Linked DNA regions of Pelodiscus sinensis. The protein of the gene in region 1 purifies or fractionates together with the protein of each later gene. This does not show direct contact. Links are inferred from orthologs where the notes say so. Each region holds a gene or a part of one and is shown on either strand. Other genes may lie near its edges.

What was found.
Region 2: the proteins of MYCBP2 (region 1) and FBXO45 purify together in Homo sapiens (affinity purification with western blotting; 7 studies listed by BioGRID and IntAct, with this or other methods). This does not show direct contact. The link is inferred for Pelodiscus sinensis from reciprocal best matches to the Homo sapiens genes MYCBP2 and FBXO45.

What each region holds. Positions count from the first base shown.
Region 1 is NC_134711.1:266,230,037-266,245,032, forward strand, and holds the start of MYCBP2 (E3 ubiquitin-protein ligase MYCBP2), read left to right. Parts: upstream 1-7,981; 5' UTR 7,982-8,568; coding exon 8,569-8,852; intron 8,853-14,996. UniProt on the Homo sapiens protein: Atypical E3 ubiquitin-protein ligase which specifically mediates ubiquitination of threonine and serine residues on target proteins, instead of ubiquitinating lysine residues.
Region 2 is NC_134720.1:545,862-561,169, reverse strand, and holds the start of FBXO45 (F-box/SPRY domain-containing protein 1), read right to left. Parts: upstream 6,253-15,308; 5' UTR 6,169-6,252; coding exon 5,938-6,168; intron 3,393-5,937; coding exon 3,036-3,392; intron 1,766-3,035; coding exon of another isoform or gene 1,645-1,765; intron 14-1,644; coding exon 1-13. Other genes in the region: WDR53 (WD repeat-containing protein 53), read left to right, coding at 6,483-6,599, 8,034-8,528, 9,072-9,659; SMCO1 (single-pass membrane and coiled-coil domain-containing protein 1), read left to right, coding at 12,602-12,774, 15,025-15,174. UniProt on the Homo sapiens protein: Component of E3 ubiquitin ligase complex consisting of FBXO45, MYCBP2 and SKP1. Functions in substrate recognition but also plays an important role in assembly of the complex.

The DNA.
Region 1 (14,996 bases):
CCCTTTTAAAACACTGTATATTACTAATTGGAACTGTACAATTTGCCCAGATTGAATTTGGTCGGGTAACGATTGCTTGTCCCTAGGAAACCATCAACTTCCAGCTTAGTAATTAGTTCATCTTTATCAATCATAATGTGACAAAAATAGTTACTCATATTGGGTGCATGTCTTTTGACTTACAACAGAATCTTCTTAAAATTACATGTTAATTATTCACTTATGGTGCCATGAGATCTCTGGCATGCCTCTCAAACTGAATTCCTCCATAACAACATTAATTTTCTTTCCACACATCAAACAAATGCTTAAGGAGAAACTTAAATTGTTCCTGAAATGTTCTCTGGTTAATTGAAAGGTCTGTAAAAGCCTCTATTCGGTATTCTCACCTGTATTTTGTGCGTTAGCACATTGATACATATGAACTCTATGGTTCTTTGTTACTGATAACTCTAAAATATGGAATAGCATCTTTAATGTAGAGTGCTTTCTCTGACTTTTACCAACTCTGTTCTTCCTAAACAAGTTATGACCAATGAGTATCATTCCAATTCTGCAAAACATCTCACTAGGTTTCAATAATGCCAATTATTTCAAATTTCTTCTCATCAGTGAGAATTTCCAGTCCTAATTGCTTGTAATCCAGAACCCAACCATTGGTATATAATCAAGTGAAAAAGTTTATTTTCTTCACATTGTTTGTCACAGTAGTTCAATTTATTCAAGTCATGTGAGTTTGAGTATGCACTACTTGCCTCTTAAGCACTCACCTTTTGCAGACACACTTCCAAATGAGAAAATTAGCCCCTGCCTCTTTCATCTCTGGTATTTTCTACCTTATCTCACTCAAAGGACAGGAAAGGTCCCCAAAAATATTATTTGGAATTACTTTAGCTAGTTCCACGATCTCTGAAGTTTTTGATAGGCTTGCCATGTAATTGCCCTTTGCACTTTTTCACAATTTTTGTACACAAGATATTTCTATTTTTGAAAATAAATATTTTTCACTTCACAATATACGTTGCAGAATGCTGACTGCTACCCAAAGCAACAACTGGCATGGTCACTAATGAAAGACGAGGCAAAGGGGGTAGTTGCACTGTGGCCTGGGGTTCCAAGCTGCTGGGACCAGAGCCCTGGGCCTTTTAAATTGCCTTTAGAGCCTGAGGCAGCACTGAGGGCTGGCTGGAGGAGGTGTGGTGCTATCTAGGCAGTGCTGAGAGTTGGCTGCTCCTATCCCTGCCCCTTCTGCCTGAGGCCTTGCCCTTTCCAGGGGTCTCAGAACCGAGCCCACATTGCACAGGGCCCAGCGAAGTATGGCGCCAGCCTTGCCCACTGTTTGTATTTGCAAAGGATCACAGAACTCATGTTAAATGAAACAGAATAATAATTTATAAACTCACTGCATAATTCATAAATTCAGTTAGAGACAGTGTAATATTCATATATATATACACAACACCACTCCCAATAGCATCCAAAATTTAAGGGCCATTAGGACCACAGTCCTCTATACCACATTAATGCAAGTGCTCTTTCAAGATCCTCCTCAGCCACATAGCTCCATCTTGAGCTCTTCTAATAGACCATGTGTCATCAGATGGATGCTTCACTTCCACCTTGATACCAACTTTCCCCCCTTTGCCTCAGAAATATTATGAAGGCCAGAAAGATAGAAATAACCACTGAAAGCTCACTATAGCTCACTGAAGTCCAATCTTGTGAGTATAAACTGTCAGCGTCCCTTTAGGCTACCAAAAGAATATTCAGCTATCATTCTGCACATGCTAAGGCAATAGTTGAATCACTCCTTCGTACTGTCACACTGACCAGTGTATGTTTCATGGACTAAAGAAAAAGATGCGGTAGGTCATGTAGGTTCACTGTTGGCATTTCAATACAGGCAGTCCCCGGGTTACATACAAGATAGGGACTGTAGGTTTGTTCTTAAGTTGAATCTGTATGTAAGTCAGAACTGGCGTCAGCCGCTGCTGAAACTGATCAGTTTGAACCGCGGCTGAATCTGGATTCCAGTTCTGACTTACATACAGATTCAACTTAAGAAACCCAGGGGTCCCCAAGTCAGCTGCTGCTGAAACTGATCAGCGGCTGATTCCAGGAAGCCTGGGGCAGAGCAACTCTGCCTCGGGCTTCCTGTAGTCAGCCGCTGGTCAGTTTCAGCAGCGGCTGACTTCGGGACGCCTGGGGCAGAGCAGCTGGGGTGCTGCTGGGTTGCTCCAGTAGCGCGGCCAGGGAGATGGAGAGCAAAGCTGCTGAGCACGCCCGCAGTGGGACAGCCTGGGCGCGCTTGGGCTGTCCCCCTGCGGGCGTGCTCCGCGGCTTTGCTCCTGTCCCCCTGGTCTGCTGAGGGGGTCCAGCAAAGCCGCTGGACCCCCCCCAGCAGACCAGGGACACCAGAGCAAAACCGCCGCCTGGGCGGCTTTGCTCGTTTGCCCGGGAGCAAAGCCGCCCAGGTGGCGGCTTTGCTCGGGTGTCCCTGGTCTGCTGGGGGGGTGTCCAGTGGCTTTGCTGGACCCCCCCCCCCAGCAGACCAGGGGGACAGGAGCAAAGCCGCCCAGGCAGTGGGATTCCCGCTGCCTGGGCAGCTTTTCTCGGGGCAAACGAGCAAAGCCGCCCAGGCGGCGGGAGTCCCGCCGCCTGGGCGGCTTTGCACGGGTGTCCCTGGTCTGCTGGGGGGGTCCAGCAGCTTTGCTGGACCCCCCCAGCAGACCAGGGAGACCGGGAGAAGCTTTTCTCGCCCCGGAGGACACAGGTGGCGACCCACCGCCTGTGAGCTCCGGGGCGAGAAAAGCCCCGTTCGTAAGTACAGATCCGACATAAGTCGGATCCGCGTAAGTCGGCGACTGCCTGTATAACCAATGGCAATTCACCTGTCAGGAAAAAAATATCTGTTCTTGCAGCTTTCTGGTTCTTAAAGCTGTGAGTTTCATCCAACTTCCCTGACCAGTCCATGTCCATGTCAGTGAAGTGTTCCTGGTGATCCATGAACACTTGCATAACAGTCAATAAAATATCTCCTTTGGTTGATGTACTCTGAGGCAAGTTGGGCTGGTACCAGAACAGATATGTGGATGGCCATCTCTCTGCCCACTGCAATTCAGGAATCACATTGAGGCAGATCTATCTATTATGTCCTGCACGTTGTTGAGTCACAGTCCTGTGCAGCGGGAGATGATTCAGTTCTACACAAGTACATGGCAATGGCCTCCAGTGTGGACTCTACAACTAGGAAATAATTTTCCACTGACTCGTAGCAAAGCTTCCTTTTCAACTGTCAGTGCGGCTTCCATCCTGATGTTTTTGTACCAGAGAGCTGGGGCAAACTTGGCTCACAGATCCATGGGTGTAGCCTTTCCACTTCTCATTGTCCAAAACCTGTAATACAATGTGATCTTCAGTAAGTGCTTGTTTTTTAGGCCTCAAAGCAGTGTTTATCATCTACAAAAGGTCTGTGATTACCACCACCAACTTTTATTAGGATTTTGCTATGTTCCTTAGCAATCTTTTCTCAAATAATCCACCATATCCCTCAGCGTTTCAGTTATTTCTGTGGATCTTCAAGTACCAGGGGATTGTGCAGCCTCCATTTGCAACATTCTTGACAATAGTGCAGGGCTCTGTAGAGCTCAATGCTTCTGTCATAGACAGTGAAAAGTGTTGCAGGGGCTTCTGAGATGGTTTTTTAAGTTACAAAAACAATGGGGATGGATGGCATTATGGGATGGAAAAATTTGTGTGATGGGAGCTTGGTTCTTTGTTCCAAATGACCCATGCATAACCCATTTCTGCCATATACAGGCAGTCCCTGACTTATGTCGGATCCGCACTTACGAACGGGGCTTTTCTCGCCCCGGAGCTCGCGGGCGGCGGGACCGCCCAGAGCGCAGCGGTCCCGCCACCGTGTCCTCCGGGGCGAGAAAAGCTGCTCCGGGTCTCCCTGGTGTGCTGGGAGGGACTCTCCAGCACAGTAGGGAGACAGGAGCAAAGCCGTAGAGGCGGCGGGACCTCTGCGCCTCCGCGGCTTTGCTCGGGGCTCCCTGGTCTGCTGGGGGGGGGGAGGGGGCTCAGCTAGTCCGCCCCCCTCCCAGCAGACCAGGCTTTTGTTGCGGGACGCCTGGGGTAGAGCAGCTGGGGTGCTGCCGGGTTGGTCCTGCGGGGACCTACCTGGCAGTGCCCCAGCTGTTCTGAACCAGGAGTCCAGATTCAGCCGCTGTTGAAACTGATCAGCGGCTGATTCCAGGAAGCCGGGGGCAGAGCAACTCTGCCTAGGGCTTCCTGTAGTCAGCCGCTGATCAGTTTCAGCAGCGGCTGAATCTGGAGCCAGTTCGGACTTACATACAAATTCAACTTAAGAACAAACCTATAGTCCCTATTTTGTACGTAACCTGGGGACTGCCTGTAATGCATTTTCCAAAAGACAGTGTGCTAGATAGTGGAGTGTGGCATACTGGATGCATACCTGAGATGCATTGCACTGTGCATCAAAACAGGCACTCTTGGTGAGTATGCACAAGGGGAAGGACTTACAAACTCGATAGGTGAAAGTATCCAAAGTTTTTCTGAGGGAAGCAATCAGCCAAATATGCCCATGCATGAGCTATATATTAATTGCAGTAGCTTTACAATGAATAATGTAACTTGCTACAACCAAAGTATGTTGTGTAGAAGTGGCCTTAGAGCAGTGGTTTCCAAACTTTTCGGCATCAGGCCCCTTTTTGATTTTTGAAAAACCCTCAAGCCCCCACTCCAAAAAATAGCAGCAAAACTTGTTGAGGGGGAAAAAAAAAAGAAACTTTGACCAGGGCTGGAAAACTTGATTGGAGGGGGTTGGGGGAGGAGGGACTGCCTTGCCTCATGTCCCCCCTGGAATTTCTTCATGCCCCCCAGTTTGGGAACCCATGCCTTAGAGTTTTAACTTTTTGGGAGAAGGAACATGCCTTTATCTATGGTTATAAAATGCTATCCGAATTAATGAGGCATTATAAAGGGTATCAAGGGTATGGAAACTTTTTCCTACCAGTCTACTGTTAACTACTGACCCCTCAGAAAAAAAAGGCATGGGCCACACAGCCTCACAGGGTGAGGGGGGCACAGAGGCTTTGTTTTTTTCCTATGCTTTGGGATTGTTGTAAATTGCAATGGCATCCAATCTATCAAGTCAGGAAAGCTGAAAACCGAAAAATGAAGGGTTCAGGGTGCTGGAGGGGGGGATCCAGGATATGGTAGAGGGTTGTAGTGTAGTATGCATACTCCCAGGGGGTACGAGAAGCTTGTCAAGGGGGTCCAGGGAATATTTGGTAAATAACTAATTGAAATATTCCAAAAGTAGTAGTGTTAGTGAAAAAAGTTGTGGATTCTAGAGTCTAAAATTTATTTCCTTTCATATTGAATAGGGGGTACGGGAAGGTTTAATAAAAGCCAAGGGGGTACGGGGACCAAAAAAGGTTGGGAACCCCTGCTCTAGGGTAAAGCTTTGGATGAGGCATTTGGGGTGCAGGAGAGGGCTTAGGATGGGGCAGGGTGGAGAAGTCTATATGTAGTTAACTATACGATTAACCGATAAGCCAAGGCAGGGGGGAGGGGCAAGGGAGGCTGCCATGAAGCAGCCTCTGCCATGGGAGCTCGGACACCCATGAACAGAAGATGCTGCCAACCCACGCTGCTGCTTCTAGATCTGATCTAGAGGCAGCAGTGCAGGGCGGCAGACAGCTGCTTTGCATGGGGAGCTGGTTTTTAAACAGGCTCCCTTCACAGACCAGCTCCTGCCTGGCACCCCATGCTACTGCCTCTGATAAAAAGGCTGTAGCCCATGATGGCAGGGAACTCCCAGGAGTGGGACCAGAGCACACTGGCTGCTGCCTCCCACCCAGTGACTACAGAGTAGTCAAGTAACGGATAAGAATTCATGTGGTTACTCGACTATTCAATTACCTGATATCTAACATCCCTAGTACAGGGTCTGGGAGCGAGTCAGGGTGCTAGAGGAGGTCAGGACTGGGGTAGGAGATTAGGGTTCAGGAGGGAGTGTGGGGTGCTTATCTACAGCAGGTCCCAGATTCGGAAGTGGCCGGCACATGTCCCCATGGTCACAGGCTGTGGGGAGAAGTGACTCAGTGTGTTGCCCTTGCCTGCAGAGAATGCCCCTGCAGAGAATGCCCATGGTTCCTGGTCAATGGGAGCTGTGGGGATGGTGCCAGCAAAAAAATTAGAGCTTCCTGCAGAGCTTCCTGGATTGCACTCACAGACTATGTTTACACTAAAGAGTTTTTCCGGGATACTGATAGTATCCCGGAAAAACTCTGCTGCATCCAGGGAACGTCTGCTCTTTTGAAATTTCTTTTGGAAGAGCAGACACGCTTTTTCGGCATCCCTGTAAACATCATTTTACAAGGAAGAAGGATGTCAGTGTAGACAGGCCAAATGTTGGAAAAACCTCTTCCGAAAAAAAGGAGTGGAAAAAGCTACGCAAATTGCGAGGCTGAGGGCTTCCAGCCCATGGCACAGAGATTTGCTGCAGGCTTGATGAAATTATGCAAGGGGCAGGGTCTGGGCCACATGCCAGAGGTTCCCCACTCCTCCTTATCATCAACAACCATGGGCTCAGAGCCCATTGGTGTCCAGTGCCTCCCTCACTATTTCCTTCCATCTTTCCCTGTCCAGTGCGGAGTGGCTTAGTGTCTGTGGACTACCTCCGCATCAATCTACTATGTCATCTTCCCATTCTCTGTGGGGTACACCTTTCCTATTCAGACCATCCATTATGCTGAATGGGTCTTAACTTTTTGCTCATCTTTCATTCTGCAGATATGCCCAAATAGCTGTAACTTCCATTGTATAACCTTCTGCAGTAGATTCTCTTTCAGCTGTATCTTCCTATATAATTCCTCATCGGTAACCTTCTGCATCCATCCTATTCTCAGGATCTTTCTATAACAATTCCTCTCCAATGCCAATATCCTTCTCTTCAAATCTTTTGTTATCACTAATGTCACACACATGTACAACATGCTACTAAATACGCACATTTTCAAGACGCTCAGCATCTGGATTATATTAATAATATACCTAAACATTTTTAGAAGTATTTTTCTCCCATTTGCTACAAGGAGGAGGGAGAAAAAATGTTCTCCTTAACCTCTGACGATAGAACAAGAAGCAATGGGCTTAAACTGCAGCAAGGGAGGTTTAGGTTGGACATTAGGAAAAGCTGTGTGTCAGGGTGATTAAGCGTGGGAATAAACTGCCTAAGGAGGCTATGGAATCTCATTGGAGATATTTAAGAGCTGGTTAGATAAACAGCGGTTAGGAAAGTTCTAGATGATTCTAGGTCCTGCCATGACTGCCAGGGACTGGACTTGATGACCCCAGGAGATTTCTTCCAGTTTTAGGATTGTATAAAATCTGATATTGTTTGTTTGGCTCCTTTATCCAGATAGGTATTATTTGCTGGGAAAGCTGGAAACAAAAAGGCCGCAGCAGGCAGGCTTTAGTAGTAAAGGAAGATAAAAATAAATAAACCAGGCTCCTTGGTGCAGCAAAAATAGAAATTCCATCGCAGAAATGATGAATTTTGGGCTTAGAAAACTTTGACAGTTGTCTCTTCTCACATGCATTGTGTCCTACTCAGCAAACTCCCATTGGATTAGGCTCACCTTAGATTATTTCTGCACCTATAAATGTAGTTGTAGTAAAACAAAAGCTGAGACCCCGTATCCAGGACTAAATTCTGCGACGGTAACAATCACTGCAGACATAAAGCTCTGACCACTGTGTTGCCAATCCTTGTATCAATTCGTGTTTCTCCTGAAGACCCAACTGCTAAAATTGGCCACACCACGCCTTGCATAATTCACAAAGTGCCTACCAGCCCTGAGCTCTGAGACATTAGTGTGATGCGTGTGAAGGCAGCCGGGGGAGCGCTTGTATGGTGCAGACATGCACGCACCGGGTCGCGGGAGGGCTGAGTAAGCCGCAGCCGCCTCCCCGCTATCCGCCGCTCGGCGCTGCAGCCTGGGTACCGGAGCCGGGGCGCTCTGGCGCAGCAGGTGCCAACGCGCGGAGGGGCGGCTGAGACTGACAGGCTCGCGCGCTCCCGGATTTCCCGGGGAGGGCGCTGCCGCGCCTGCGCACTCGCGCCGTGTGTGTGTGTGTCTGACACTCGGAGGGGGGTGGGGCCGAGGTGGCTGCGCGGAGGGCGGCGGCGGCTGGGAGACACTCCGAGGGGGGAGGAGGGGACGCGGCGCCGGCCTCGCCCCCTGCTGCAGCGGGAGGAGGAAGCGAGCGGCGCGGGGCCCGCGGGACGCCAGCGGATACACGCGCTCGCCCCCCGCTCCTCGGCGCGGCCCTTCCGGGACCGGCCTCCGCCGGCTGCGCGGCCCGAGGCCCAGGTGTCACCGCGCCCGGCCCGGGCGGATGAGCAGCGCCCGGCTTGGCGTTGCCGTTTGTGGCCTCCCCATGGCCGGGCCCCGCCGGTGAGGGCAGCGGGAGCCGCCTGTGACCGTGTCTCGCCGCGGGAGGCAGCTCAGCCGCCAGGGGGCGGGGAGGGGGATGTGCGCGGCCGCCGCAGGAGCCGCCGCCGGTGCCACCGAGACAGGGGCCGAGGGCGGCTGCTGCTTCTCCTCTTCCAGCGGCTCCTGCCTGGCCGGGGCCGTGGGGCCCGAGGAGAGCTCAGCCATGGGGCTGGGCGCGCTGCCAGGGGCGGCGGGGCCGCCACCGCCGGGCTGCCGGGACCGCTACCAGCTGCTGCTCTCGGGCCGGGCCCTGGCAGACACCTACCGGAAGATTTACACGGCGGCGCTGAGCGACAGGGATCCGGGAAGCCACCCGAGCAGGTAACGCACCCCCAGGCCGCGTCCTCCCGCGCCAGGCGGGCCGCCCTCCCTGCAGCCATTAGCCAGCTATCTGGCGTGTCATACAGGCTTCACTTGAGTTGCCAGCGAGGTCCTAGGACAGAGGACGAATGTATCAGGGTGCATCCCTTCCCGTTGCTACCTAGAGCATCCGCGCAGGTAATCCCTGGTTTCCCAACTATGCAGATAATGCACCCACTCGCCATGTGCCCGTCCTGAGTCAAAGGGCAGGTACCGCCCCTTCCCCCAGGACCCAGAGTTATACAATGAGCGAGCTAGGTGTTAACCCCAACCCCCTGGGGGCTGTGGGGTAGGCAAATCGCCCCCCATTAGAACTACCATGTGGATAATATTCTTACACTCCTCCCCAGGGTGCGCCCCGGGAACAGAGCTCAATTCTTTCTTTTTTTTCTTCAATTCTGGAGTCCCTCTTTAACAAATTGCCTGGCCCAGTAACTATTAATGACAGGGTGATTCTGATAGGCAGCATCCAGTTTGCTGTCTATTACTGGGTGGGTAATGCACTTCCTCTGCAACTGTAATCCCTGCCAGCCGGCTCATTGGGTGCTTAATGGGTGCGCCTGTCCAGTTCTCTAGAGCAGTCAAAGTGCTTGCCCCAACTGGATCTGCCGTGGCATGTTTTACACTTATTGTTTAACACCCAGAGAGGTTACACAGCTGGTGTCTTAGATTCCTGGGCAGGTGTGAGACCCACCATCTAAGTTTTAGGTTATGATGACTACACTTGCAATTGATTGACAAAACTTTTGTTGTTCATGAGTGCTTAAATCTCCTCTCTCTGGACTACCAAAGTTTTGTTGCGGCAAGTGCAAGTGTCAGCACTGCTTTGTTGGCAGGTGTGCTTTCCTGCCGACAAAGCGAAAGCTGCTTGCAGGGAGCTTAGAAGTATTTTGTTGGCAAAAGTGTCAACACAGCCTTGTTGCTAAAAGCTGCATAGTCTCAATCTTGTTATGGACAGTCATGTACTGCGCCCATTTTCTAGTTACTGTTCCCTCACCAGGACAAGTTCCTTGCCCTGGTACTTTGACTTAAGGCAAGATGGCTTCTCTCTGAAAACCTATGGCCCTTTTAAGTCTGCTTCCCCTTCAGCCCTTGGCCAGGTACACTGTCTTCATGCAGAATACCTTGCCAAAGGCTCCCGGGGAAGCCCCACTCCCCAAACCCTTATCCCTGTCTTGAGGCCATCCTGCAACCCTTTTCTGTCATCCTAGACAGGTACCCTTCCCCATGGTTTGTAATGCACAGGCTGGGGGGAAGTGGGAGGGATGCAGGATCAGAGATGGAAGTTATCACACCAGATTGCTTTCTTGCCCAGCAGTAGCACTGGGAGCGTGTGAAGTGGTAGGAAAATGAGATGGGGCACAGGCACACTACAAGTCATCCTACTCCGCAGCAACAGCTCTCAAAGTTTTTATGGGACAATCTGCAGCAGTGGTGGGAAAAGGGGAGGCTGGATGTGGGTTCCATGTGGAGTCAGTTAAGTGGAATCCTGTGGGGTTGTTGGGGTGAGAAGGGGGGGGGGAAGGTAGCTGGCACAAATTGGGTTCTGATACTGCAAGCTCTAACTGCTGGGGTTGAGGGTCATCATGAAGTGGCAGCAGCTGCTGTTGCAGATGAAGCTGGGTATTGAGATGCTCTTGAGATAGTATGGACTGGGGTACTGCCCAGAACTGGGAGCAGGACAGAATGAGGCTTCGTCCAACTAAAATGCTTACAGCTCCATTTGAGATTATAGCAACCTTAGCCCTATATGTGGCTGTTTCTTGCTGAGAGCAGCAGTTTAGAGATGTGCAAATGTTGCATCTTGTGTATGGAAGCGGAAGCTGCAGAGCCTGATTGTCCCATTCAGCACTGAAGGGGACAGACATGAATGCACATATTGACAGCTTAGACCCTGCCAGCTACATGACAGCTGCAGAGTCTGTGTTGAATAAGCAGTGAGTTCCTGGGAAGCCTGGTGTTGGAGCCACCACATGAAAGGGCAGGAGTGAGTAGGGTGCTTGCCTCTCCCTAGCCTGTTAGGCTGGTGGCTGCTTCGTTTGTGATGTGGGAGAATATTGTGATCACATGCTTTGGTTTCATCTTCCAGGTGAGTGGGATCTGTGTGCATCCTTCATTCTTTTCTGGGGAGATTGCTGAGGAGTTCAGTGACATGTTTTCTTGTCTCCATTTGGAGAACCACTTAAGTACAGGAGCTGGAAGGATGGTGTCTTTATTCTCAAGTTGAATTAAGTTGTGACAGGCTGAGCAGAGTCTAGTCGCAAAGGAAATACTAGCTTCGTGAATCAGCCTTGATTGGTAAATGTCAGTGAAACATTTTTATAGTTTGAATTTGCTTTTTCTAATTATTTCCCCCTTTCAAAAGAACGGGAGGTCCAGTAATTAATTGTAGCCATTGTGTCTACAAGAGAAAAGTAATTTTGCAAACCACAAGAATAATGCAACCTTCTGATTTATCTGATGGCCACTAGATGGCTCTGGGCCCTTGATCTTAGTGGAGGTTTTTGTACACCACCTGATTCTATCTAAGCTGTATAACTAAGAAACTGTAATATTTCAGACAGCACCTGTAAATCTTACTGTTCTTGTTATGTCTATTCTGTGATTCCATATTTTTCTGTTTTAATGTTTTCATATCACGAGCCTTAAACATTGATTTAACTTGTTCTGGGACTACAAACATTCAATTTAGGGGATTCAAGTTCACCCTTAACTATGTAGTTATTGCAAGGTGTCATGAGAGAGTAGAATTAATATTGTTCTGGTGTCTAAACTTTGTTTTCATACCTTTAACAAATTTGGATTTCTTCTAAATGTAACACTGTCTATATTTGGGGTTATAATGGTTGGTTTTGGAATTATTAATGCTTTTGTTCTGTTTTTTACTATGAAATCCCAGATACATTGTGTCTATTGAAACTCTGGTTTAACATAGTTATTTTTAAATGAGGTTCATGTTAGACATTTTTAAAAGACAAAACAAACTTAAATATGATAGTTAATGGTTTTGCTGTGTTAAAGATGTGTAGTATATTAGTCTTAAGCTATTTTGAAATTGTAAACTAAGGCCAGATTCGCTGGTATATTTTGGCTTCTTTGAATCACTTTGAAGCACCACAAAGAAGCCAGAATATATTAGCCATGTCAGTAAGGTTTATAGCTGCTTTATGTCATTAGAGCTGTACAAGCAACTACAGAGCACTTGTGAATTTGATCCTAATTTGCTAGTGTCATCCATGGAACTTTTTAAAAGCAGTGACAGTTATTGTCACTGCACTGGAAACAGCTAAGCAATCTCCTAATCAGAACTCTTTACCAAGAACAACAAAATAAAAAATCCCCAAAACCCTGATATGTGTCTCACTGGCAAAGAATTGTGGCATGCAGTTTCTCTGTTGAACAGGGCTACTCAACATTGGAAGTCCCGGGGGCCACAGTGATACGGCACATGCCAAGGGCTGCAACTTAAGTGTGATTTCATATACATGCAGATATATATGCAAATATCTTATTTCACACTGATGGGCATGAATACAAAGATTAAGGCAAGACTACACAAGATACAGGTTCCATTTGTCAGTTCTGCTGATATTAATAAAATGCAATATTTACCCAATTTACACCCATATGACAGCACTTTTAGTGAGCAATGAAAGTCCAGGAATTTAACTACTAAAACTCATATCAACAGAAGGCCATTATATTGACTACTTTTTTGTTTTGGTTCCCGCCTATTGACCGTGTTTTGAGCCCCACATAAATTCAAACTGTGCTGCGGGCCTCAAACAAACTGGCAGCAGGACGCTTATGGCCTGCAGGACATGTGTTGAGTAGCCCTGCTGTAGAAGAATGGTGGTAGTCTGTGCTACCTCTGTCACAATAGTAAGTATATCCCAAATTATTAACCTCCCTCTGTCTGTAGTCATAAGTAGAGCTAGATTTTTGAATGTTTTTTATTAAAAACAAGGCGGATCTTTCTTTAAAATATTTGCTAAAAGTATCCTTTTTCATTCAACTTTAGCCATAACTAGATGCATTAGTTGAGTGATTTTTTTCAAACTTTTTTTTCTCATGACCCAGTTGAAGAAAATTGTTGGTGCCACTGACCCAACATAATTTGACTAGAATGGGGTCTCTGGGGTGGGATTGACAAGGAGAGCTTTGGGGTGTAGGAGGAAACTGCCTTCAGGGAGGTGAATCAGGACTGGGGTAGGAGGGGCTTACCTTGAGCGCTCCCAGTCAGTGGTGCAGTCGGGGGCGAGAGGGGGAAGGCGCTGGTACTTAAGGCAGGCTTCCTGCCTCTCTTGGCAACACAGACCATCCTGCACCCCAGAAGCAGCTAGCAGCAGGTTCCCAGCCGATGGGAGGACACATCTAGTGCTCAGGGCAGGGGCATTGCACGGAGCCCTATGTGCTCTCCTCCCTCTCCCCCGCCAAGGAAATAGGTCTGCTTCTGGCCACTTTTGGGGCACAGCACAGTCTGCAGTGCCAGAACAGGCAGGTAGCCTGCCTTAGCACTCCTGTTGGTCATCTGATCACCTTGCAGCAATGAGATCTAGTGCCTGACATGCCATGACCCATTACTGGGTTGTGACCCATAATTTGAAAACCACTGCATTAGTTAATAACTTTGACGATATTAGGTTTTAATTAAACTGACTGCATGTAAGGTTTTAACTGTAAAGCTTGCTGCTCTATTATTAAAATAAGTTAGGTAATTTCTTAAAGGACCCATTTCAAATATTTGAACTGTGACCAAATATAGAAGTTGACTTGTAAAGTCTCAGAAATTTCATTCTGTATTCAGATAGTACTGTAGTTTGGGGCACAATATGCTAATCTTGCATAATGAAGATACAGAAATTTTTTTAGTGCATACTGAAACTCTGTTTTAACAATGAAGCTGCAAATAATGTCTCTGATGAGCAAAATTTTGTCAAAAATAAGACTTTTACTTTGTTTTGGCAAATTGGAAATCAAAGCAATAGTAGATTGACCAAGCACTGCCAATGCAAAATTAAATATAGATTATTCAATAATCTTGTACTGAATTTATGAATAAACATGCACCTGTTATTTGTACTAGTTGTCATAGGAGTGATGTGCCATATGATGAAAAAATTCAGCAGTAAGTTTTGAAGCAGAGGTAAAGATGTTTCATATTTCTTATGTGAGGTTAGTTATTAAAATCTGTAAAAATACAGATAGTATGAATTCTGCTAATGGCACATTAAGTACATTTTTAGAAGAACTCAACATAGCTCTATGACTAATATCAAATTTCTTGATAATTAAGGTTCGTTAAGACAAATTAACTTTGGTAAATCTAAGTTTACCCTCTTTTTATGATTATTGCAATATTAGGAAACAGTGCTATTGTGGCTTGAAACCTTTCTAAGTACACTAATTTAGATGTATTATTGAAAATTGTAATTTTTTAAAAATGCAGTCAAGTTTTTACTCCAGTGCTATATAGTATATTCATTTAACATTAATTAGTAGCTGCTTTTCTCTTAATTTAGGACAACCTTTGTTTGTTCCTCCATGCTACACTGCCTTATGAAAAGAATCTGGCTTCTTGGTTTTGAATCAATTTTTTGGATTGGTTGCCAGAAGATACTGTTAGTTAGACCAGCACACAACCCTTTTAATGGATATCTCCACATCCTCTGTAGCAAATTGATGGATATCTGCACATCCTCTGTAGTAAATTGTCCCCGCTAACACAACATTTTGTTTGTTTGTTTTTCATCAGAAGTCTGACTTAAAGTCTCTCTCTCCGATGAACAGCGCACCACTGGGCTGACTGGAGTATTTTGTGGTAATGTCATACGGAATATTAGTGGAGGAAGGGACATGCACTGTCCCTCTTCCTCCTACCCCACTCTGCACAGTTTGATGAATGTCTACAAAGTTGCTTACTGTGTTCAGACTTGGAAAACTTCTGCTTGTTTTGCACACTAATAACATTACCTGTCATTGTTGAAAACATTAGGCTGCTTATTACCTTGAGATTCAGAAATGTTTTAGTTTCATTGCTTCAGTGAACTGCTAACAGTGCTATAATTCAGTTTTTCATATTTAGCCAGAAACAATACAGGCAGT
Region 2 (15,308 bases), on another chromosome or scaffold:
TTCTCTCACCTATCTGCAAACAGAGATAGGAAGAAGAAAGAGTCAGGAAATACTCAAAGGGAGAACAATTAAAAGGAAAGAAAACAAAAATAGCACAGAGAATAGAAGAGGAGACCCTACAAGAAGGGCATTTTTCTGTTTCTCAATATAAATGAACTAATTTTTCTGGGGGAGTGTCAGTTTCACTGATGCACAGTAAGTTTCTCTATAGCTACACAGAAAATATCAGATTAACAGTGTTTTCCTGTAACCATCACAATGCTACATGCACCATGCATGGGCCCTTCACATGTGACTGTTCTGCTAATAACAATTATTACACTGCATTGCATCTACTTCAGTGTTCTGCAGCATGTGGCAATTTTTGCAATCATCTCCACCCTGTATTTCCCATGACTCTGAAGATAGCTTTTATTATGATAAATATGCAAAGCCTTTATACAGAGATTTTAAAGCCACAGAACTGGTTTTAAGAAGCAAGGGCTGTATGCCAGGTGCACTAAAAAACTTTTTTGGCCAAGTGTGCACTCTGAGCATCAGCATTACACTTTTATTTATTTATTATAGAACAAGAAGCAATGGGCTTAAACTGCAGCAAGGGAGGTTTAGGTTGGACATTAGGAAAAAGTTCCTAACGGTCAGAGTGGTCAAACACTGGGATAAATTGCCCAGGGAGGTTGTGGAATTTCCATCTGTGGAGATATTTACGAGTAGGTTAGATAAATGTCTGTCAGGGATGGTCCAGACAGTACTGAGTCCTGCCATGAGGGCAGGGGACTGGACTCGATCTCTCGAGGTCCCCTCCAGTCCTAGTATTCTATGATTCTATGATTCAATTTACCAGTAGAGCAGGAAAGTTCAAAACTATGTGTATGCTTTTCCCATTTGCCCTCCCCCCCACCTCTCGAAAAGACATTTCTAGAGCAGTGAACACTGAATGCGCTGAGAGAATCACAGATCAGCAAATAAACATTGTATTGCATGCCAGCTCATTTACCTAGAGCATGATTTGAAATTTAGATAAGTCACAGCTCCTAAGAGCAAGGAGTACCATGGCACTGCACAAGCTTCTATATTGTGGAAGCATCAATCCACCCTCAAATGGAGTCACCCTGAACCTCAAAAATGGCACTTAAGAATTTATTCTTTTTAGTCTTTATTTTATAAAAGAAAAGATCAAGTTACATGCTTTACTCAATCCGAGCGTTCTTTAAAGAGACATCAACTTGAAATCAAGTCAGTTTAAAAGTTAATGTCAAAGCAGTTTTGTCTACACCATATCTTTGAGTCTCCATGACAGTTCTGCAGTTTCAAGTTCTTCCCACCCTCCTTTCCCATTAGAGTTTGAAAGATCCAAACAAGGGGAATGGATCACAAAAAAAAAAATCAATCAGTAGAGTGACTACACACAATGCTGTCAAATGTACAAACTCAGCTATAGGAAGACAGTCTCTCTGATCTCTAAATTCCAATAATCTCATGTCTGCTCATAAAAATCATAGGTTAATGTTTCAGAGAAAAGTGCAATTTTTGAAAAGTAAGTACCATTACACAGATAATGTTTGCTATACCACCTGGACAGCGAACTTTAGAGTGGGGATTTAGGAATACAGCCGGTCCCCAACTTATAAACAAGTTACGTACCAAACACAAGGTCGTAACTCGATCTGTTCGTAAGTAGGATTATATTCACTGACGTACAGCCGTGCGGTTTGTAAGTGCGGATTTCGTTTGTAACTCGGGGACCGGCTGTATAGGAGGTTAGCTGTAAATACAAACGGTCGTAAGTCGATGCGTTCGTAACTCGGGGACCGGCTGTATCATATACATTAAACCAGGAATGAGGAAACTTTTTTGAGTCGGGGCCATTGATCCACAGAAAGATCAGTTGGGAGCTGCACACAAGTGAGAAGCAAAACCACAAAAAACCCAAACCCTCCCTTATGTGGCTCCTAACTGAGAGGGAGGAAGACACTCCCCTACATTCCCCTCGCACACCAAGCTTAGGGGAGCCCAGGCTTTTAGATTTTATGTGCTCAAGCCTCATGGGAGGGTAGGGAGGCTGGAGCACCAGTGCAGGCTCCCCAGTGCTGGGGGGGCCCGTGAGCCTCAGGGGCCGGATCCAGGCAAGCCAGGGACTGCATCTGGTCCCTGGGTTTTAGGTTCTTCACCCCTGCATTAAACAATGTTCACCCACTGAAATGCAGCCACATCTGAAGTGGATCACACAAAAACTCTACATAACAGTGTAAGTCAGGAAGTATTAGTGTATTCAATTGAAGCTGTGCTGTCAAAAAATCTAGTAGGCAGAATATAGTTGTCCAAAAGTGGAATTGGCCAAAGCGAAACCACTGATTTGGAGGGGGAAAAAAGCCATGCACCCTTTAATTAAGGCACCTTATCTGAACTTTAATGTTATGTTTAATCCAAAAGATGTCACCTCTAAGAATACCAGTTATTGAATAAACATCGCGTCAGCATCACTCAGAATTTCCTTGGAGAATTCCTACCCGATTATCAACTAGACCCAACACACTTACAATACGATGTACAACACACTTACAAATGACATAATGCTTATCAAACAGCCCTGATATTGAGGGACAAATCCTTGTTTAAAGCATACAGAATGCTCTGGTACTTCTTATTTTTTTTAAAAGAGGTAGCTGCATGAATGTAGGATAATTTCACATAAGATTTGAAATTATAAGAATGGTACACGATTATTTTTATTCTAACTGGAGGAGACAATGCTGGAACCTGAATCTGTACACCAAACAGGAACGTAATCTAAAAAATTAGTAAATCAGAAAAAAGAGAAGAAGGTAAATTTTGCCCCTCAACAGGTAAGCATTGCATACATAGCTACGTGAGCCAGGTTTAGGAGACAGACATGCTTACAACAGAAAAGGGCCATATTAAAGAACAGTGTTAAGGCTTATTGGGCAATGAAGTTTTGTCCTGGTCCCACAATTCTTGCAGGACAGTTGCCACAGATGCAGCAGAACCTCTAGCTGGTGCTTCATCTCACTTACCTGATATTTTGGTGCATTATTGCACTGTGGGAAGCTCCCATTTACTTCTCCATTATGTAGCAAATTATTGTCCACCAGATTCCATCCCCAACTCTGGTCATCGCTGCCCAGAAGCGCTACATAGCCTTGGCACTGCATGGGAGCCCGTTTTGTGGCAATTCCAATTACAGCGACCGTGCCAAGAGGGCCCTCCCACCAAACTTCCCAGGCATGACGACCCTCGCTGAAACCAATCTTCGTCCTTGCCCCATCTGTGCTCTGAGCAATAGGGTTCCGGTGCAACGTGAATCCATTCTTCTTGATGTACACATTCCTGGAGCAGTCATTGGTGCTGAAGGCATGTTGAAAGGCCCGTACCTAAAACCACAGAAAGGGAGAAGGGAATAATCATGAAACGAATTAATGCATTAACCTCTTACAGCTCGTTCCCACCACATTTCAAAGGCTTTTACAAGCCCGGTGTAGGAGGAGCGGCAAAGGCAGGGAGGCCAGCAGGCTCCAGACTCCCCGGGCGGGCGGGAGAGGAGCGCCCCGGGGAGGAGAGCAGGTTGCAGGGCGGCAGAGGAGGACCCCGGGGAGGAGAGCGGGTTGCAGGGCGGCAGAGGAGGACCCCGGGGAGGAGAGCGGGTTGCAGGGCGGCAGAGGAGCGCCCCGGGGAGGCGAGCGGGTTGCAGGAGCGGCAGAGGAGCGCCCCGGGGAGGAGAGCGGGTTGCAGGGGCTGGCAGAGGAGCGCCCCGGGGAGGAGAGCGGGTTGCAGGGCGGCAGAGGAGCGCCCCGGGGAGGAGAGCGGGTTGCAGGGCGGCAGAGGAGCGTCCCGGGGAGGCGAGCGGGTCGCAGGGCGGCAGAGCAGCGCCCCGCGGAGGAGAGCGGGTGCAGGGCGGCAGAGGAGCGCCCCGGGGAGGCGGGCAGGCTGCAGGGCGGCAGAGGAGCGCCCCGGGGAGGCGGGCAGGCTGCAGGGCGGCAGAGCAGCGCCCCGGGGAGGCGGGCAGGCTGCAGGGCGGCAGAGCAGCGCCCCGGGGAGGCGGGCAGGCTGCAGGGCGGCAGAGCAGCGCCCCGGGGAGGCGGGCAGGCTGCAGGGCGGCAGAGCAGCGCCCCGGGGAGGCGGGCAGGTTGCAGGGCGGCAGAGGAGCGCCCCGGGGAGGCGGGCAGGTTGCAGGGCGGCAGAGGAGCGCCCCGGGGAGGCGGGCAGGTTGCAGGGCGGCAGAGGAGCGCCCCGGGGAGGCGGGCAGGTTGCAGGGCGGCAGAGGAGCGCCCCGGGGAGGCGGGCAGGTTGCAGGGCGGCAGAGCAGCGCCCCGGGGAGGCGGGCAGGTTGCAGGGCGGCAGAGCAGCGCCCCGGGGAGGCGGGCAGGTTGCAGGGCGGCAGAGGAGCGCCCCGGGGAGGAGGGCAGGTTGCAGGGCGGCAGAGGAGCGCCCCGGGGAGGAGAGCAGGTTGCAGGGCGGCAGAGGAGCGCCCCGGGGAGGAGAGCAGGTTGCAGGGCGGCAGAGGAGCGCCCCGGGGAGGCGGGCAGGTTGCAGGGCGGCAGAGGAGCGCCCCGGGGAGGAGAGCAGGTTGCAGGGCGGCAGAGGAGCGCCCCGGGGAGGAGAGCAGGTTGCAGGGCGGCAGAGGAGCGCCCCGGGGAGGAGAGCGGGTTGCAGGGGCTGGCAGAGGAGCGCCCCGGGGAGGAGAGCGGGTTGCAGGGGCTGGCAGAGGAGCGTCCCGGGGAGGCGAGCGGGTCGCAGGGCGGCAGAGCAGCGCCCCGGGGAGGAGAGCGGGTCGCAGGGCGGCAGAGGAGCGTCCCGGGGAGGCGAGCGGGTCGCAGGGCGGCAGAGCAGCGCCCCGCGGAGGAGAGCGGGTGCAGGGCGGCAGAGGAGCGCCCCGGGGAGGCGGGCAGGCTGCAGGGCGGCAGAGCAGCGCCCCGGGGAGGCGGGCAGGCTGCAGGGCGGCAGAGCAGCGCCCCGGGGAGGCGGGCAGGCTGCAGGGCGGCAGAGCAGCGCCCCGGGGAGGCGGGCAGGCTGCAGGGCGGCAGAGCAGCGCCCCGGGGAGGCGGGCAGGCTGCAGGGCGGCAGAGCAGCGCCCCGGGGAGGCGGGCAGGTTGCAGGGCGGCAGAGGAGCGCCCCGGGGAGGCGGGCAGGTTGCAGGGCGGCAGAGGAGCGCCCCGGGGAGGCGGGCAGGTTGCAGGGCGGCAGAGGAGCGCCCCGGGGAGGCGGGCAGGTTGCAGGGCGGCAGAGCAGCGCCCCGGGGAGGCGGGCAGGTTGCAGGGCGGCAGAGCAGCGCCCCGGGGAGGAGAGCAGGTTGCAGGGCGGCAGAGGAGCGCCCCGGGGAGGAGAGCAGGTTGCAGGGCGGCAGAGGAGCGCCCCGGGGAGGCGGGCAGGTTGCAGGGCGGCAGAGGAGCGCCCCGGGGAGGAGAGCAGGTTGCAGGGCGGCAGAGGAGCGCCCCGGGGAGGAGAGCGGGTTGCAGGGCGGCAGAGGAGCGCCCCGGGGAGGCGAGCAGGTTGCAGGGCGGCAGAGGAGCGCCCCGGGGAGGCGGGCAGGTTGCAGGGCGGCAGAGGAGCGCCCCGGGGAGGAGAGCAGGTTGCAGGGCGGCAGAGGAGCGCCCCGGGGAGGAGAGCAGGTTGCAGGGCGGCAGAGGAGCGCCCCGGGGAGGAGAGCAGGTTGCAGGGCGGCAGAGGAGCGCCCCGGGGAGGAGAGCAGGTTGCAGCGCGGCAGAGGAGCGCCCCGGGGAGGAGAGCAGGTTGCAGGGCGGCAGAGGAGCGCCCCGGGGAGGCGAGCAGGCTGCAGCGCGGCAGAGGAGCGGCCCGCGGAGGAGGGCTGGCAGCAGGGCGGGTGCAGGGCGGCAGAGGAGCGCCCCGGGGAGGCGGGCAGGTCGCAGCGCGGTAGAGGAGCGGCCCGGGGGTGCAGCGCGGCCCGAGCGGCGGGCGCACCTTGCCCTTGTAGCTGGGCACGTTGCAGAGGAGGTCGGTGCGCAGCGCCTCCTCGGCCAGGCTGCGCGCGGCCAGGCTGCGCCACACCTCGCTGTTCTCGTCGCCGTGCAGGACGCGGTGCCACAGGCGGCACACGAGGGCGCAGCTCCGCAGCTCGCGCAGCTCCAGGTAGGAGAAGACCAGCTCGAGCACGCGCCCGGGCAGCCGCCAGCCCGCCCCGCCCGCCGCCATCGCCCGGCCGGCCGGCCCCGCGCCGACAGAGCCCTGAGGCGGCGCGCGCCAGCCTCGCGCGAAGCGGCGGCGCAGGGGGCGGCGCGAGCCCTGCGCCCGCCCCCGCCGGGCGACACGAGCGGGCGGAAGCGAGCGCAGCGCGCGGGCGGCAGGGGCCGAGCGGGCAGCGCCGGGCGCCGCCGCCCAACCCCCCCGCGCCTCGCCCCCCGCGGCCGGCCCGCGCCCCCCGCAGCGGCTGTGGCGGCCGCTCCGCGCGGGCAGGCGGCCGCCGGAAGCGGCGCCATCTTGGTGAAGGGCAGAGCCCGCCCGGGCCCATGGGAGCGCATGCGCGGCCGCGGGTGGGGGGAACCGAGCGGCGCGATGGGATGACGTCATCGTGCCGCGCCGGAACAGGCGGCGGGAGGGACGCGGAGTGCTTGGTGCGGTTGGAGGTAACGCGGCCTGCGTCCGTCCCGCCCCCCCCCCCCCCGGGCCTTCCCTCCTGCCCCCCCCGGGCCGTCCCTTCAGCCTCCCAGTACATCCCTCCCGCCCACCCCTCCTCCCACAGTGTCCCCCGCGCTCCGCTCAGCCCGGGGCCCCATCGCCGCTCGTTGCTCGCGCTCATCTCCCCGCCGGGCTTCCTGGGTGTGGGCGGGGCCTGTGCCGATACGGGTGTGAATGCAAATCCCGTGTCCATGCAGCGCTGGCAAACGTGCTCCCCGCAAAATCCGAGCAATTCACGCTTGGCTTCCAGTAGAGACTGTGCTTCTTACGTCATGGGGCTGGAATGCCAAACTGCTGAAGCGCTGAATGTCTTTGTGTTTCAGCCATGGCATGTCAATCTGCTTACAACGCGCTTTTCAGCTCCAGCCTACAATGTGACTTATGCAAGTGGCGGGGTGTTTCTAGGTGGATCCATTTGCAGGAGCAGAGCTATAGACGTGCTTGCTGATGACTCCCAACTAATAAGGATAAACATGATCATCAAGCACATTTCAAGTTAGCTGAAGTTCAGGCTCTGAGAAGTCTGAACCAGCCACCAATTAACAATGTAAAGTGTCATTTAAAAAGTTAACTGGTTCAACACTATGTTTGTGTGGGGGCAGCCCCACCGCTTGCAGTGCAGCAGGTTAGCTGGGCTGGAGCAGCCACCTCAGTCTTTTCTCCTTCAGTTCCTCTGCACCACAGATTACTTCTCGAGCTCATATTTAACCCTTGTTCAGCTCTTCTCTGAACTCCACCAATTTACGTCATTCTGTCTTCACAGATAGTCCTTGGTGACTTTTCATTTTTTCCGTATACCATCTTTGGATGTTGTTTCCTTTCTGATGTGTGGGTTCTGCTGTGTATAGCTAAACTATTTCCTTCAGTGTACTGTGATGTTACTTCATGCAAACTCTACCATAAGCATCAAAATAAGCTTATTGTTTAGGAAGACTAGAACTTTGTCTTATACAGTTTTCTTACTCCGTGTAGACAAGTCCCAAGACTTCCTTTCCTGCTGCTCTTTTCAGTAAGTGCATTAGAAACTTTTAACTTGCGTGTTGTGATGGCACGTAGAGACACCAGTCAGAGAGTGGAACCCCATTGTACTGAGTGCTCTGCAGGGGTCATGGCTGAAGTACCTTCCATCTGGACAGCTACTCAAGATTAGCAGACAGTGCTTTAGTATAGTTCAGGAACCAGGCGCAGCACTTCTCATGGTGAAGCAGCAAAGAGGGATGATACAAAATGTCAGTACTGTTTGAGCCCACGTTCCAGTTCACAAGTTTACCTTTACAGGTGTCTGTTTTACCGTAGGGACACTAACATCTCATACAGGACACGTTACTGAGTCAGCCGAGCACATGTGCATTCTTCATGCATCAATTTGTTTTCATTCACAGACTCCCCGAAGAATCATGGCAGTCAAGTGGCGGGATGGACATTCCTCTTCTGTACTGTGCTTGAATGTAAACAAAGACGGTCTGGTGGCTTCTGGAGCAGAGAGAGGAGAACTCTCAATGTGGAACGAGGAAGGGATTCATTTAGAACAGATACAGCTCCCAAGGGCAGATGATGTCACCTGTGTTGTGTTCTCTCCCACCTGCCCCAGCAGGCTGTACACCTCCCACGGCGAAACCATTAGCGTGCTGGATGTCAGATTCCTTAAAGGGCCAGCTGAATGCTTCCATCTGAATGAGGAAGAGATCAATTGCCTCTCAGTGAATGAGACTGACAGTGTCCTGGCTGCTGCAGATGACTCTGGGGCGATAAAAATTGTGGACTTGGAAAATAAGAAAGTCAGCCGGTCCTTGAGGAGGCATTCAAACATCTGCTCCTCTGTTGCCTTTCGGCCTCAGCGCCCTCAAAGCCTTGTGTCTTGTGGACTGGACATGAAGGTGATTTTTATAGTAGAAGGTGGATGATGGCTAGAAAACTTAAATGTCTACTCGATATGAGTTGTTAGATGATATTTGCTGTGCTGCTCCTCCATTCTGGGATTGTTAACATGGCTCTCCAACACTCCTAATGTGGCCCTAGCATAGTAGCCAGAGGTTTGGATTCTCCTGAACTGTTAGTATGTTATCCTGAAATTGGTTCATAATTACATAGTATTTAAATGTGTTCAGCATTATCTCCTATGAAGTCATCAACCTACCCTCCCACCCCATGAAGTAGGTGTTCTTCCCATTTTATAGATCGGGAAATGAAATGGGTCCCTGCAGAGAAAGTATCTGATTCTCAGCACTGTTCTCATTCCCAGTTACATCGGTGTGTTTTCAGTTACATAGCTACAATTGTCAGTTTGTCATGGCTCCCTCTCCCTGATGCCTCCAAACATTCAGGGTGGTCTCTTCACCTCCAGGGTTAAGCCTTAGCTATTCTAAGGAGGGCTGTTTCCGCAGATGTAGTTCTAATGATTTGTTTGGTTTGATTTGAAGGTTATGTTGTGGAACCTGCAGAAAGCTCGCCCACTGTGGACCACGACCCTGCAGGAGACCGAAGCAGAGGAAGTGGGACAACAATCAGCTGGCCAGTTCTTTAACCCTCCCCTCGCCCATTCTCTGTCTGTTGCAGCATGCGGTAATGTCTTTAGTTGTGGAGCTGAAGATGGTAAAATCAGGATCTTCCGAGTAACAGGGGTCAAGTTTGAACAGGAGCTGGGGTTTAAGGCTCACACGCTGGGCGTGTCTCAGGTCCTCTTTTTGCCAGATGTATATTGGCTGCTTTCTGGAGGAAATGATGGAAGGGTGTTACTGTGGGATGTCGGCAGTGAAGCCGGGAAGCAATTGAAGAGTCCTGTGAAATCCATCCACCGGAGGAAGGCCAGAACATCAGCTTCCCCCAAGAGAGGTGGAGAGCCCAACACCATGGTTACAAATGAACATGCCCGAGTTTTACCAAAACTAAGCATAGAACATGGAGAGAAGGTGAACTGGATTTCATGCACAGCGATCAAAGGCTTGAGGAGGGTATTAGTTGCGGACCAGAGCAGCTGTATATCTGTATACCCTCTGAATGCGACCTAGACACACACTGTTTAAGGAAGTCTTGGCAAGCAGCTAGTGGTTTTTTTTAATTTTTGCGAGCTGGCCTCTGTGGTTCCTTACAGAACACTCTCCTCTTGGTTCCCATGGAGAGTAATCTTCCTGTTGCTTAAATAATCCCCAGCTCTTCTGCACGTTTAGAAGTGGCCTGGAATTTGCTGTGGCACGTTATGCACATAAATAACATCACTCCCTATTTCAGTAGGGGAGCTTCTTCACTTCCTTATCTCCTTGTGGGATTGGAAGAAGGTGCATTTTGAATATAGGTGTGACTTGGTTGGAAATGGACCGAGAGGACTTGCAGACACTGAGGCAGCCTCATGCTACAGGTTGTAACATTTTATGTTTCAGTCTGCAAACATTGTGAGAGAGATGGTATTCAGTCGGGAAGAAAATAAATCAGTGGGCATGGTAAGCTTTGCTGAAAGCACAATTGACAGGAGTCCTCCAAACTCCCTGCACTAGAACAACATAATTTATTTTCCTGCTTTGCTTCGTTACCTCTCTAATGCTTTGCTTTCCCCATTTCAAACTTTCTGGTAGTTTAGGCCTAAATGGGACATAATCTGTTCTCTAAGATGCAGCACCTGAAAACGTGGGGTGCAAGCATGTTTGAACTATTTCTAATTTAATATAATGAAGATTACTGAAGTGAGTTAAATAGATTTAAAGCTCATCAAAGTGGGATTTTCAGACAAACAAAATGGTGGGACATTTATTTATTTGGTTTGTCCTTTGATTTCATGTGTCTCAGAGGCAAAAATATCTTTTTAAATCCATCTCGGCAAAACCTTTCTCCCTCCCTGCACTCCTGTTAGCTCTTGTATGGTTACCCTATTGAACCCTGCATGCAAAAGTGTGAAGTTGAGCATTTTCGAACTTCAGTGCAGAGTGTAATAAAAATAGAGGGCCAGGTGCTGCTCTCTTTCTTACAAAAAAGTCTGATTGATGTCAAGGGCTCCTTGCATGAGTATGACAAGCAGGCTTCCACCCTAAATGGACTGTTAGCTTCCTCGTGTAGGGCGATGTGACCAAATGTGAATCCCGTGCCTCTGAAGTTATTTCATAAACTTCACGCTCTTATGGGATGTGCACATAATTCAGAGAGCTTATTTCCCCAGGATGTCCTAAACCACTCGTGTGTTGAAAGTGCAGTACTTTAGTCTGGGAACCAGTAGGGCCAATTCCATTATTTTTGTCTCCTTGATTATACATGCAAAGGAGTGATCTCTGCCCTGAACTTTGAACTTTCTGATATCACTAAAATAAGGTTAATTAATGTTTGTCAGAAGCTTTTTTTTTGGGGGGGGGGGGCGTGGAAACAAGTGGTGAGATAATGGGATAATGGAATGTTCTATTGGAAGAAAAGAACAAACCTATAATTACAATACTTATCGTTCCCCTTTGCCTCCCTGAGTAACCCACTGTGCATCTTGTGCTTCACTAAAGATTAAAAGATTCCTTACAGTTGTGTATGCTTGATCTTGTTTTCTTACCCTCTGCTTTTGAATATGTAACACTCGGACGTTTTGAGGATGACAAAGAAATGCCCACTGTCAGAATGTATCAGGGTCTAGAGGCATCCACGCTATGGCAGTGGGAATCTGTGTGCTGCTCTTATCTTGGTGATCCTCATATCCTGAACAAAAGGCCAGTAAACACACTTCTAGAATTAACTTTAACAATGAGGGCATCTCTCTCACCACTTTAGAGTCCAAGTCCCTCACAGCAATGCAGGAAGCTATGGGAATAGGGTGAGGCTGAGAGAGGTTTGAAGAGATCCAAGAGGGGCAGGCATGGTAGGGCCCAGCCTCTGATTTGAGAATGAAAAGGGGAGTCGGTGATTAATAAATGATAGCAAGCCACATTTGTCTAATTTTTCAGTTCAAGCAATGCTAGTCTGTTGGCGCACACGTGTTGTATCCAGAGTAGCATAAATAAACATGTCGGCTATCAGCTCAAATGTGTGTAGCAACAAAGCTTTGATTCTTCTGATGTCAAATTTCAGTAGCTATCCAGTCATGGATTTTCCAGCATGGAAAGTACATGCATTTTTTTTATGTAAAGCCACTTAGTTTGTGAATACATTTGATGCCAACATTATACACCCATCCCCAGCTGGCCAGTGATGCCAGCTTCTGTTGCACATTTGGATTTTTCTAAACAAGCTCCTTCAGGCTTTCTCCTCTACTACGCCTCCCCCAACAAACATCCACAAAGCTCTCTCTCCTCTACGTTTGTGTCAGACTTCCCTTTGTTACAGGAGCCTACAGAAAATGTGACAGCAGTAGGTGCTGAGACACCACCTATTGTCTGACTCATAGATTTTTGGGGGGCAGTGTAGTCTAGTGGATACAGCCCTAGACTGGGACCCAGGGAGCCTGAGCACTATTTCTGGCAGTGCTACTGGCCTGCTAGGCGACCTTGAGGGACATTGCTCTGTGCCTGTTTCCCCAAAGCGCTTGAAGCTACCGATGAAAAGCACCATATAAAAGCTATTTGCAGTGTTGTAGCCATGTTGATCCCAGGATATTAAGACAAGTGGGTGAGGTAATATTTTTGGATCCATTTTGGTTAGCAAAAGAGACAAGCCTGTCTTTTGCCAACAAAAGCTGGTTCAATAAAAGAGCTACCTCATCCATCTTGTGTCTCTATAAAAGCTGGGTATGTTTGTTCTGTGTTTGTACATCAGCTAGCACAGTGTACTCCTTGTCCATAAATCCTATAGGAATACAACTAATACATCAAGTACAAGCTGAACAGGGCAAGTCATCTTTGTGTCATTTGTGTAAAAGACAACTGGGATGTTTGTTGTGTTGGAGGAGCTGCGCCAGATTCATAATTAAGTAACATGTTTATAGACGTGTTTGTGTGTTTCCAAACTATATTTGGATGTACTAGCTATAAAAAGACCTCTGTGCAATATGACCTTTACCCAGAGTCAGATCTTCTGTCCACGCTGCTGCCGATTGCCCACAAGAGAGAAGATCGAGCCAGGATTCAAGCCTGTTGAATTTGCAATTCTTCTCTTCTTGTTCCCCATGAAGATGACCAAAGAAACTATATCTCTGCACTCCCTGAACGAGACATTAAACAGGTCACAAAGGGTTGTGTGTGTTAGTACTACAAGGAGGAACAGGGCAAGGCTCCTTTGTGCTGGGAAGGGGCTATAGGAAGATGGGGTGAGGGAAGAGATGAACAGCTACTGGAGTGGTGGGTCTGCATGATAGATGAGTCTGTACTTGTTAATTCTTTATGGGAAATAGAGAGGGGATCAAAATGAATGTAGGGGGTGACGGGTCTCAGATCACAAGGAGTCTCTGTGTTTCTCCTTTCTCTCAAAACAACCAACCACCTGTTTTGTGAACAACCATTTGCCCGGTTCGCAGCCATTTACCCCTGTTACCAGATGCATGAGTGCTTCGCCATCAGCCTGAATGCAGCTGCTTGATCCCCAGTCGTAAACTAACTCTTTTTTAAAAGTTTGAGAATGGGCCAGCTGGGAATTCTAATCTATCCATGTTGAACATGTTTGTGTTGTGATATGGTCCAGTTCTGAGCAAGTGTTTTTAGGTGAGCCCAGGACTGGTGAGCTCAGAACCCAGTGAATGTAAAAGAGAAGGACGGGAGTGAGGGAGCCCACGGAAGAAACTTAACTTCATGTTGCCGGGTCTCACACAATCATCTTATTTAATGTGCAGACGGTGTCATTGAAATAGTTCATATTGCAATTAGAAGGGAAGGAAAAACATGGTTGAAAATGCTGCTCTAGTTACTCAAGATGGAGAATACATAGCCCCTTTTCCTGAAAAGCACATATATGGGAGTTCCAGGTCTGACAATTGTGCAAACATTATCTAACAGGAGAGGCTTGAATATGTTTAAAGTTGGTGTCTGCTCAAATAAATGTTGTAGTAAAAGTGGCTGCTGTAAAGCAAATATACTACTGCTGCTGGGATGTACTCACTGGCTGGAAGAGAGAGAGCAATTCTAAAATAGCCTTTTTGTGCTGCAGCTGCTTGGTTCCGCCATGCTTAAAGAACCACCTCTAGACTTGCACTAAGGTGGCAGGAGCGTTGAGAGCCATTGAATGACGCTGCAAACCCTGCATATGATAGTACCCACGTGAAACCAGGGTGTGTAGAGGTAGTGCAGCCCGAGCATTAGCACCTAGAGGGGAGTTTGTAGGGACTGGGAAGTCACCAGGCTGAGGAGGAAAGGAAGAGGCTGGGTTTAAGTATTGTAGTACTACTAGAAGATTTGCTTTGCATTGCTGGGACTCTTAACTCAATTTTTGTGTGGCAGAAAATAAAATGAAAATGTCCATGCTTCATTGAAATCATTGGGCTAGGGAGGAGGGGTTCAGGGTGCTGGCTGTCCCAGGAAGAGAGGCTGACCTTCGCCTATTCTCACTGCAGCAGCTTGAGGCCAGGTGAGAAACGCCCCTTCACGGCTGCTGTAGCTCCAGCAGGCAGAGCGGGAGGAGGGTGCATGTCCCCTGGCTGGGGCAGGTCCAGGTTCATCTGCCCCTGAGCTCCCCAGCCAGAGTGAGGAATGCAGCAACCTGGGCACTTTCCCTTGGCTCCCTGTAATGTTCCTATACAAATGGGGTGGGAGATTCAGCCTTCCCACCCTCTTTAAAGGGTGCATGAGGGGTGGGAGACTCAGGGCTGGTGCAGTCCCAGGCAAAGGGGCATCCCACAGTCAACCCCTTTCACCTGCCTGGTGATTGTCTCTCCTCTGAAGGGGTTTAGGAGAAGCAATCCCAGTCCAGGCACATCCCATTGTCCTGGCACAACCAACCCCTGCCCTTGCTTTAAGTTACGATAAGAGGAAGCTGCCTGCCGAACGTGGTGGGCCTAACTCCTGCCATTTAGGAGTTCTTGAACAGACAGGCACACACACATATAGGCCAACTCAATATAAAGTAGATTTAAATATTAAGTAGTGGTGGATTTTATACAGCGCTGACTTACGTGTCATGTAGGATTAATTTGGGTCCTCAAATGAAACCCCCAAGATTAGACTGTACTTGATAGGTCACGAATAGCAGGTACAGAAGCTCTCCTAGTAAGAATTAGGGTGTCTGATGCATTAATTCAGATAGCCTTGACAGCCTGTGAAGAAGACTATGCGATGGCTTCTAAAGGCACCCAGACTACATCAAGCAACTGAAGCTCAACTGGCAAATAATTGCAAAAGGAGTCAGGAGGACTTCTAAGTAAAATGGAGAAATCTTAAATTGGATCTCAAGTTAGTCATAATGCAGCAGATGTGGAGTCTTCTTTCTGTGCAGAAGTTGAGATATGTTGATTCTAATAATATGAGTGGTTCTTATATTCCACAGGGTGGAAAACAGGCTGCAGACCTTGGAGTCTCAGTTCAAAGAGCTGAACTCCTCCATGGAGAAACTGACCCAAAAGCTGCAGTTTCAGGGTGAAACCCTGGAGAAGCAGGTGGATCAGGATGAGATGTGGACATCCTTGCTGGAGGACAGGTATGCCACAAAAGAAAAAGAACCAGCTTAGTTTTCACTATGCACCAGTTGGGACTTGGGAGACTAGAGAATTGAGAAATCTGTAACATTCTACACATGCCAGTGACGGTGAATAGAATCTATATTACACGTCT